Linked DNA regions of Drosophila melanogaster. The protein of the gene in region 2 interacts with the protein of the main gene of each other region in a pairwise test. Each region holds a gene or a part of one and is shown on either strand. Other genes may lie near its edges.

Region 1 (4,946 bases), on a different chromosome or scaffold from region 2:
GCTCCATCCGGAAGCTATATCAACGATTTCGATCCCAACATTGATCCATCGGTGCTGAATGAGCACGCGACGGCCGCTTTCAGATACTTCCATTCCCAGATTGAAGGTCGTTTGGAGTAAGTGCCTATTTACTATTATGAGTTAAGAACATTTTATTAATTTTAAAATTTTTGTGCAGTCTACTGTCCGAGCTGCGTCAAGTTCTCGGCTCTCTGACCCTCAGCGACTGGTTCAATCGTCCCGGTATTATTGAGGTTGGAGATAACTTTGATTCCCTGACCAGAGGACACGCCACGCAGCCCGAAGAGCTAACTGATATCAATTTTGACCGACAGGTGGGTACACAAATAACAAAATGAGACCACCTTTCTAACCTCTCAACCTTTCCTGGCTTAGATCAAGCACTTCCTGTTCAGAAGAAACATGCCCTTCGGTTCCGATCTGCGTTCCCTGGACATTCAGCGTAATCGCGATCACGGTCTGGCTTCCTACAATGACATGCGGGAATTCTGCGGACTGAGACGTGCCCACTCGTGGGAGGGATACGGTGATCTAATAAGTCCACCAATTCTGGAAAAACTTAAGTCGCTATACCCGAGCCACGAAGACGTGGATCTGACTGTGGGCGCCTCCTTGGAGGCGCATGTGGCCGGAGCTTTGGCTGGACCCACCTTCCTGTGTATCCTCACGGAACAATTCTACAGAACCAGAGTGGGCGATCGCTTCTTCTTCGAAAACGGAGACAAGCTCACTGGATTTACTCCTGGTAAAAAGAACATTTCTCCTCTGACTATTTTAAATATTAATTTATTTATGTCTAATTTCGTAGATCAACTGGAGGAGCTGAGGAAGGCCAGTATGGCTCGTTTGCTGTGCGACAATGGCAACCACATTTCATCCATGCAGCCCGAAGCTTTCCGGACTGTTTCCCATTCGTAAGTTTAAATTGATTAAATTGGTTATTTGGAAAGTAACTGAGCTCTGAAATTACAGGAATCCGATTATACCGTGCTCAAATATTCCACAAGTCGACCTCACCAAATGGATTGATCAAAAGCTATATGCCACTGTAGATCCGTCTCACTACGGAAAGAAGTAATCCGCTGCTGTGGGATCTATGCTTAACTAGTTGAATACAAATACATTTAGCTTAATCAATAACATAAACGTAAATGCAAAGCCCCTCCCCCCCCCCCCCCCCTTGTATGATAATGTCCCAAACTGATGTACAGAAATAAAGCCCTTACCATTTAAACAATCAGCTTTACTTTCAGTGACCTGATAATGTTTGTAAGATTTCACGGAAATGAAAAGAAGTCAAGGGCAAATCCCAATGCCATCCAGACCCGACCCCTTCTTATGCAATAGGCCCGGATAAAGAAATGCCGGGTCCGAAAACCTTTACACTTTCGTTGACTTTGGGATAGCTCCGATTCATCGGGGTTAATCATATGGAGACGCGCGACCGAGGTGTGAACAAGTTGATAGAAACGGCCAATTAAGAGACAAAACTCTTTTTTCTGCCATTTTTAAGTCATGGTTCATTCGAATCGTAAAGCGAAACAATCGGCAACAGAGAATGTGTTCTTTTTTGCATATGTCTTCTGTTTTCAAATGGAAGTTAACATATTAATACTTCAGAGGCGGTTCACTTTTGGATTGGACATAAATTTACATATATAAGTTTAGAGAGAACCCAGGATGATAGCATCATCGCGAACAGGTTTGCATATTTTCCGAGAGATTTGGCAAGCAGATTTCTGAATGGACATGATATAACGGTTCTAGTGAATCTAGATTAATGAAAGTGATTTAAACAAAGTGTGCATACAAGATTAAGAGTTCATAATGCGGTATAAAAGTGATCCGTCCGCCGGAGAAAGGCAGCAGATACCATTTCGCCATGAGGCTGTTCGCAGTGATTTTTTGGATAGGTAAGGAATATGATTCAAATAGGATGGATCTGATTTCTAATTGGGATTCATTTCCTTTCCAGGCTGGGCCTTTGGCCTAGCGAATTCCAAGAACCCGAGTGCCGAGACGGGCAGACTGATAGCATCTCTACAAGCTGCTCCGGCTCCGGCGCCAGCACAAAGTGTGATCTACAAGCTGCCACCACAGCACTACTATCCGCCACCACCGCCGCCGCCTCCGCCTCCGCCACAGCACTGCAATTGCCCGCCAGGTCCACCGGGGCCTCCTGGACCGCCGGGCTTACCAGGAACGCCTGGTCCGCAAGGTCCCAAGGGACACACTGGGTCCAAGGGCGAGCGAGGAGAGAAGGGAGAACGCGGTCACTACGGACTACCAGGCCAACCAGGTGAACCGGGACCTATTGGTCCACCGGGACTACCAGGCCCACCCGGTCACAAGTCGGGACATGGTCACCATGATCATCATGATCACCACCATCATCATCCAGCGCCACCGCCACCACCTCCACCTCCGCCTCCGCCGCCTCCACCACCACCACCACCACACTCACACCCGCATTCACATCATCCCCACCCGCCGATCGTGACGCCACCAATTATAGTTCCCATACCATTGCCACCGCAGAAAGGTGAACATGGTCACCATCATCACCACAAGGGATCCAAAGGTCCACCCGGACCTCCAGGCCCACCAGGTAAGAGAAAATCGTTACTCATATATATCACAACGCTCTAACAGTGAAAATATTGAAAGGATATATTATAAGTCATTTTCCAAAATTTTACTGAGTATTTAATCTCTTGCAGGAACGGGACCACCGGGTCCTCCAGGACCTCCAGGCACTACGTATCCACAACCCCCACCACCACCACCACCACCGCCACCTCCACCACCATCGTACCCATACCCACCGTACCCGTATCCACCACCTGGTCCTTATCCGGGACCATGGATTCCTCTGCCAGTGCCAGTGCCCTGGCCCTCAAAGGGACATAAGGGGGATAAAGGTCACAAAGGAGGTCATAAGGGAGACAAGGGCGGACACCACCATCACTATTATCCACCAGGACACGATAAGGGAGGCTACTATCCGTATCCACCCCACGGTGGCCATGGAGGCCATCACCATCCAGGCCACAATTATCCAGGCCCCTATCCGCCACCATATCCACCTCACCATCCACATGATGGCGGAGACAAGGGTTATCACCATTATCCACCCCACAATCACGGAGGGCACAATCACGGGGGACACAACAACCATCATCCACCTCACAATGGAGAGCACAACCATAATCATCCCCCTCACAATCACGGAGGACATGGCCACCATCATCCCTCACACAATCACGGAGGGCAGGACCCACATAATACACACCCCCACACTGGTACACACGGAAATGGAGGACACAGCCAAACTTCACACCACCAGCACCCCCATCATCATCAACCAAAACCCACTAAGCCAGAGGGTAGTGGCGAGCAAACTCCACGGGATGATCTGGACTTGCTAGATGAAAATGTGGAGATTGTCGAAAACATAATTGATGAAAATGATAACGAAAATAATTTCATGGAGGGCGAGGAGGAAATGTCCAATGAGCCCAATGACTTGGAGACGGAACCCGAGGATGCGGACTACGGCCTTGAATATGCAGATAACACAGTGGAGAATCCCGAATCTCCGAGTGGCGCTGAAGAAATCGATGATGAGGATTCAAGCTATATGGTACCAGAAGGAGATGATGCGATGGAAGAGGACCATATGATGGAGGACCAGATGGACCCAGTGAATATGATGGAGGATAACGCACCTATGGATGGAGATGCAATTGAGGAGCGAACCAACAAAGGTCCGATTATCCTGTCAATTGGAACTCCTCGAAATCCCTTTCACATTTACGCCTATGAACAGTATAATATATAAATAAGCCAACACCACGAGAAAATAAAAAAATAACATTAAAATATGAGTCTTTTATGGGTTTTCTAACAATTTAAAAATACTACTTTTTGGGTTTCATTTAGAGATTTTGATACAGTTAATAAAATTTAAATGTTTAATAATAAACAAAAGCAGTGAACCTCTGTAGATTTCCGTATTAATAAGATCATCTCGCAGAATTCGTATAGCAAAAAATTTAAATGTATAAACAATAAACTGCGTTATTGTTAGCTGTCAAAATAGTTCCGTTGTTCTTGGAAATGTCTGCGGCTTTGTTAGATTTTCTATAAAATAACAATGGACAAAGATATGAAAAAAGTGAAATCATATTGAAATAAGCTATTAATTCAATGACAATCGAATGAAATTGCCAACTCAAATCATTTATCAAAATACAATGGTAAATTGTTGAATCTTATCAGCTAGGCAAGTAAAATTGTTTGTAATATATGTATTTAACTTTTGGCAGATATGAAATTAATAAGTTCAAATGTTTTCAGGTATTAGGTTGATTAAATTCATTAATAAATTTCTTTGTCCATAAATTAGTTTTGTACGACTTTTTAAAGCATGCGTGCGTCACGTTGATCCAATGCCTTAAAGTCTTGAAGAATTTTGAACGTCATATTAAATTTCACTATTTAAAAGCAATTTGTATGATAACGATAATGAAGAAGATAAGTCAGATCGTCCCATTTTTGCGGTATTCTTATTTTATTGCCCCGTAAATAAAACAATGGGGGCTGAAATGGAACAATCAATGCCGACATGGAACCAAATAAATAACTAAAGAAAGTTAATAAAACTTGTGCCATAATATACATTTTAATTCTTAAATAATAACCAAACATTTAAGCCCTAATTGTGGTAATCAATTTAATAATAGTATTAGCACATCGACAAAATGGAATAAATCATTTTTCTTGAGCCTCATCGAATTCCATGCGTGTGTATCTGGACCAATCTTCGGTTAAATTTATGCGAAATCATTAGGCTGATGAGATCTGAGATTTGCGATTTACATTTTACGTGTTTCGCATTAACCCATTAAAGTCTAGACCAACTG
Region 2 (5,045 bases):
GGACCAACAGCACAGTACAAGTACTAAAAGGATCTAATGACTGACTTCAGCTGCATAAACCCATTAGGAAACCCGTCTTGACCCGGGAAAACTCACTGCCATACATCATAATTTAGTTACAATTAAGACAATTGAGTGTACATACAGACAGCTTACATTAACCTACAATAAAGATGCATCCCATTCAATCTGTTCGCAGAGGAACACAAAAACTTGGATTTTTTAATATAGGGAATATACTTAAAAGCTGGGTGAGGGTATTTTATTGATATAAAAAAAAAAATGAGTAGTTGAGTAGTGGTTGTGTTGCAAACATACTTATATAAGTGTGAAGATCAGTTAAGAAAAATATAAGCCAAGTGAAGAAAAACCACATTATGACAGTTCACAAGTGTGACACAAAAAAGTGAAAGATTATTAAAACCAAAAAAAAAAAGTGGTGAATGAAATGCTTGACTTAGTTCAACTCGCTTGTGTGTTTGGCTTCTTCAGTGAATTCGTATCATTATATTTGCGAATTGATGTCTCATAAAATGATGCGTCACGATACAGGTGGCTTCGATACTGTGATAAGCATAAACTAATGCTATCGCCGCCAGACGCGACATGGCCCATAGATGCCTCTAATCTCACGTAGCTGCTGCCACTTTGGGGGCGTCCAATTACCGGCGCAGTCGACGTCGTCGATGGCGATTCTATTGGATTTGGCTAACGCTCTGACCAATGCATCCATGGAGCATCAGTGCGAAAATGGTCGGCTGCCCGGAGACACGACAACTACTGGTCACATTGCTATTGACCCTTGGCTTCTGCCTGGGGGGAAGCTCAAAGGATACAGTTGCGGATGCGGATGCCAAGTGGATGGCTCCACTTAAGCAGTATGGGTATACGCCGCAGCATCTGAAGAACAAAGTGGAGCATGGTGAATTCACCACCTTCGAACTGGGCACCCCCAACTACCAGATTCTCAATCCCGAAGACGAACCGGAATACATAACTGCGGATCAACCGCATTATCAGGAGATGCTGAGGCGACTTACCAGTGGTCGTAGTAAAGCTGACACCATTGATGTGGAAATGGCAAGTCGCACGGAAACGGTTCGCGAGACTTCCGATCCGGGTCAATCTAAAAAACCATCTCAAATTCAAGTGCCAGTTAAACCGAAGACACAACTAAAACAAAATCGCTGGGAGAAACTAAGGAAGCGCAGCTCCATCGAAAAAAGACGTGACCACAAGGAAACCATGGAAACTGATGTGCGGGATGATCAAAGTTTCTTCCCTGATATTCAGGTTTACCCCGGCTTACCCTTCCAAAGTCGTGTAGCAAATCTAAATTAATCATAAATAAGTCACCTCATCCAAATGTGCAAATGGCTTTGATTTTAAGTGATCTCTGGTGATTCGGACAATGAATAAATACTAAAAGTATAAAAGTAAAAAAAATAAAGTACTTTTTTAAAGGACTACTTTAAATAAATCGGAGTTTTTTGCTATTTTTCTTTGTAAGGCTAAAATTGTTATGACTTTTACTCGCAATAATGAAAATAGTGATGTTGCTTATTTTTGTTAAAACAAAAAAGATTAAGAGTGCCCCCAATTTTAAGCAGAGTTTTCCCAAAATGTTGTTTAAATAATGAGCTAGACAAAATGTTAAATGGTCAAGATACTATTATTTAAATCAGTAAAGCTTTTGTACTCAATTTGTAGGAAGATAATTTAGGTATTGAGCAATATCGCTTACAAAAATACCATTATCCATAGTGTACGTGTAGACCTTGAGTTCCACAAAGAATTACAACCAAAAATTGATAAGTCAATCGACCCCAGACGTTAATATCAGATCTAGGCCGAGACCCAGAAATTATAAATCCCCCAAGCAGCTGGAAATTTTGTGCAGAACCGAAAAAATGATCATTGCGGTCGGAATGGTTTTGGCTATTTATAAAATTAAAGATTTCAGGAGGATTGTTTATTCTGGCTAATGAGAAACTGCCTAAAAAAAATGCATTATGAAGTTCGTCTTTCTCTTAAAGGTTATTGTCATGCCAAAGGTCATACATAAATATGTTTGCTATATGTTTTTGATTAAACAACTCTTGTCGCGAGCACTCCAAGCTATCGACGAGTGCGGGCAGAAATGCTTGAATGTGTATTACGGAAGCGGCGGCATCTGGCGATTGTCTTTACCCATTCCGGACCCATTCCGGACAACCACGCCCCATTCCGAGCCGTTTGGGGCGTTTGGAACGTGATGCGGTCAACGCTTCCGCGACCCATTTGCTCGGCGTTGTAAGAACGAGAAGAAGAAGCTCTCGGCCAGCGCAGCGTATTTAAGAGCTATTCAGCAAAATGCATGAAAGAGTTTCGCACGCGACCGACCAACAGCCAACAAGTGCCATCCATCGGCGATCCGGGACAGAAATTCCAGCAATTGTGGGGAAAGTGATCGAGCGAGCGAGGGAGAAATTCAGTTGAAAGGTAGGGTAACGGGGTCAATCGATTGGGAACGATTCCGGCGCAATTCTCTGACCCATTCTAAATTCAATATTCTCCCCCCTTCAGATGTTCGAACGCTGCAATTTATTATTTATGACCATGCTGATGGCATCGGCACTATTGACCCAAGCCCATTTCCCGGAATATTGTGCGGAATGTGAACAGGAGGTGTGGGAACAGGTGCCGTGCAGCGAGGTGCCCACAACGGTAGCGCCAACAACAACCGGAGGCTCTACGTTGAGCCCGCCCACAACCAGCGCCACCAGCCCGGGACCTATTTACCCAACAACAACCAGTGCCCCACCCACGCCCACGGATTACACTACACAGCCATCGGAGTACAAGAAGTGCTACTGCGAATGCAAGCTGGGCTGCAAGGAGTTCTGCCGCAAGGTGATCTCTTCTGAGCCCAAGCAGCCGCTCACCCAGATCTCATCCATTGGGGAGTATGCCCCAGGTGGCCAGGTGGAGTACACGCATGTCCATCAGCGCAAATACTTTCCCAAGTACGGAGGCGAATCCTATGGGGGATTGGTAGGACCAGTGGGCGGACCCAAGGCCTATAAGCCATATCCATTGGTCTACGAACAGGCGGCATCAGCTGCTTCACCGGCTTCCATTCCCTCGGTGGCTTCCTCACCAGCGGTGGCCAGCATAGCTGCTCCTAATTACACGCTGGAGGAGTTGGCCCAATTGCTTAGCACTGCGTATGGCACCAAGAAGGGCTACCCAGCTAGTGTGCCAACTCCGCCACGTATTCAGCTTCAGCCAGCTCCCTCCGTTTTCTATTCCCCGGTTCCAAGCTACAAAAAGCAAGTGGTTCCACTCGTGAGCAAAGTGGCGCCGGCACCCAAAATCTCCTCCAGCATTAAGTATGCCGCCTCAGCGGTTTCATCATCATCATCGGGCGTGTCGGTGGCCAAGATAAAGACTCCCTACGAGGAGAAGATTGTGGTGGCCACACCGTCTCCCATTTATGAGAGATCCACATCGTATCCTATTGTTGAAGCACCCAAGGAATACTCGGCGCCCCAGACGGAAGTCTATCCCGTTGTGCAGAGCCAAACGGAGTCGTATCCCAGCCACACACCCATATATCCAAGTCCCACGGAATCCTATCCCAGCCAAAAGGACTCCTACCCCAGCATCACAGAGTCATATCCCAGCCAAACTGAGTCCTATCAACCGCGTACGGAAGCCTATCCCGTACCCCAACCGGAGATCAAGCCATATGGTGGTCCCGATTCTGGACCCGATAAGCCATCGTCCACGTTCGATCTGGCCATCGATAATTATCTGAAGGACTTCGGATATGGCAACCAAGGAAGGGGATATGCGGACTACTAAAGTTCCATACGTTGTTTTTTAGGATTAGTCTAGGCTAGAATGTTTTCTAGGTATCCCATTATTTATTGATGTACTCCCCGTTTCCTGTTGACTACATGATGATTAAATAAATTATTAACAAAAAACTAAAGAATATTATGGTCTTAGTATTATAGTTGAAATAACTATTGCATACTTTTGGGCTATAAAGTAGCAATTTCCCCCCTTCGATTTTGTTAAAAGAATTAATGAAACAAGAGATAAAAATTTACAAGACTAATAAAATTATGAAAAAAAGCTTTTATAGTTCCTGAAATCTCGACTTTCATACGGACATAACCAGATCGACTTGGCTATTGATCCTATTGATCAAGAATATATATACTTTATACATAGTATAAAGTAGCGAGTTTGCTACTTTTCAAAAACGATCATTTATAATTCGGCTTGACGCATTTTATTATTTGTATTTAAAAAGTTTTCTTCATTTGCATTCATTTTTTTATATACTTTCTTGTTGTCGATAACATTGAATAAGATTTCATCTTACGCATTTCGCCAGCTTAATTCTGGTTTATGCTTGCCAATTTTGATAAGCATAGATATATACACAAATTAGATTCATAAATTTTCGTATGCAAATATATATGATTTATGCAATATGAATGTTTTCAAACAGCGCTTATTTAACCGTTGATCAAGGCGAATCCAAATTGTTTTTGGTATTTCCAATTTGTATTTTCACAAATTTTACGCACCAGCTCAAGTCTTTCATTTTCTAAGGTTTTACATTTGTGGAGCTTATTCATTTCAATTTTCTGTATGACACGATCTAGAAAGGATGTCGGATTGAGAAAATTTCTATAGGCACACACAAAAATAGCCATGGAAATCAGAAAGTTATATAAGTAGCTCACTATAATTGCACTTGATAGGATATAAATATTCAACAAACGAAGTAATAAGAACAATTTGCATAGTACACTTGCAAAGATGCGAATGTGCGGTTTTATTTATTTTCAATAATGTTTGCATATAAAATAACAAATAAAAAAGTGAAATCATAATATTTAGAACATATTCGTACATTGTAAATGAAGTGAAACTAAAAACGATAAATTGCAACACTTTGAAATAATGACGTCGTCCCAGCTATGAATTTAAACGTAAATTATCGAGAAGAAAATATAGTTATAGTTATACGATATTTTAAAATGTAT

What was found.
Region 1: the proteins of CG13114 (region 2) and CG5225 interact in a two-hybrid assay, tested with the Drosophila melanogaster proteins (one large-scale study listed by BioGRID).

Annotation. Positions count from the first base shown.
Region 1 is NT_033777.3:17,026,803-17,031,748, forward strand, and holds CG5225 (uncharacterized protein), read left to right. Parts: upstream 1-1,890; 5' UTR 1,891-1,903; coding exon 1,904-1,934; intron 1,935-1,996; coding exon 1,997-2,629; intron 2,630-2,741; coding exon 2,742-3,862; 3' UTR 3,863-3,899; downstream 3,900-4,946. Other genes in the region: Pxd (peroxidase), read left to right, coding at 1-116, 179-335, 397-766, 830-935, 994-1,099.
Region 2 is NT_033779.5:9,543,452-9,548,496, forward strand, and holds CG13114 (uncharacterized protein), read left to right. Parts: upstream 1-2,359; 5' UTR 2,360-2,481; intron 2,482-2,565; coding exon 2,566-3,846; 3' UTR 3,847-3,973; downstream 3,974-5,045. Other genes in the region: Cpr30B (cuticular protein 30B), read left to right, coding at 1-27; CG13113 (uncharacterized protein), read left to right, coding at 724-1,341.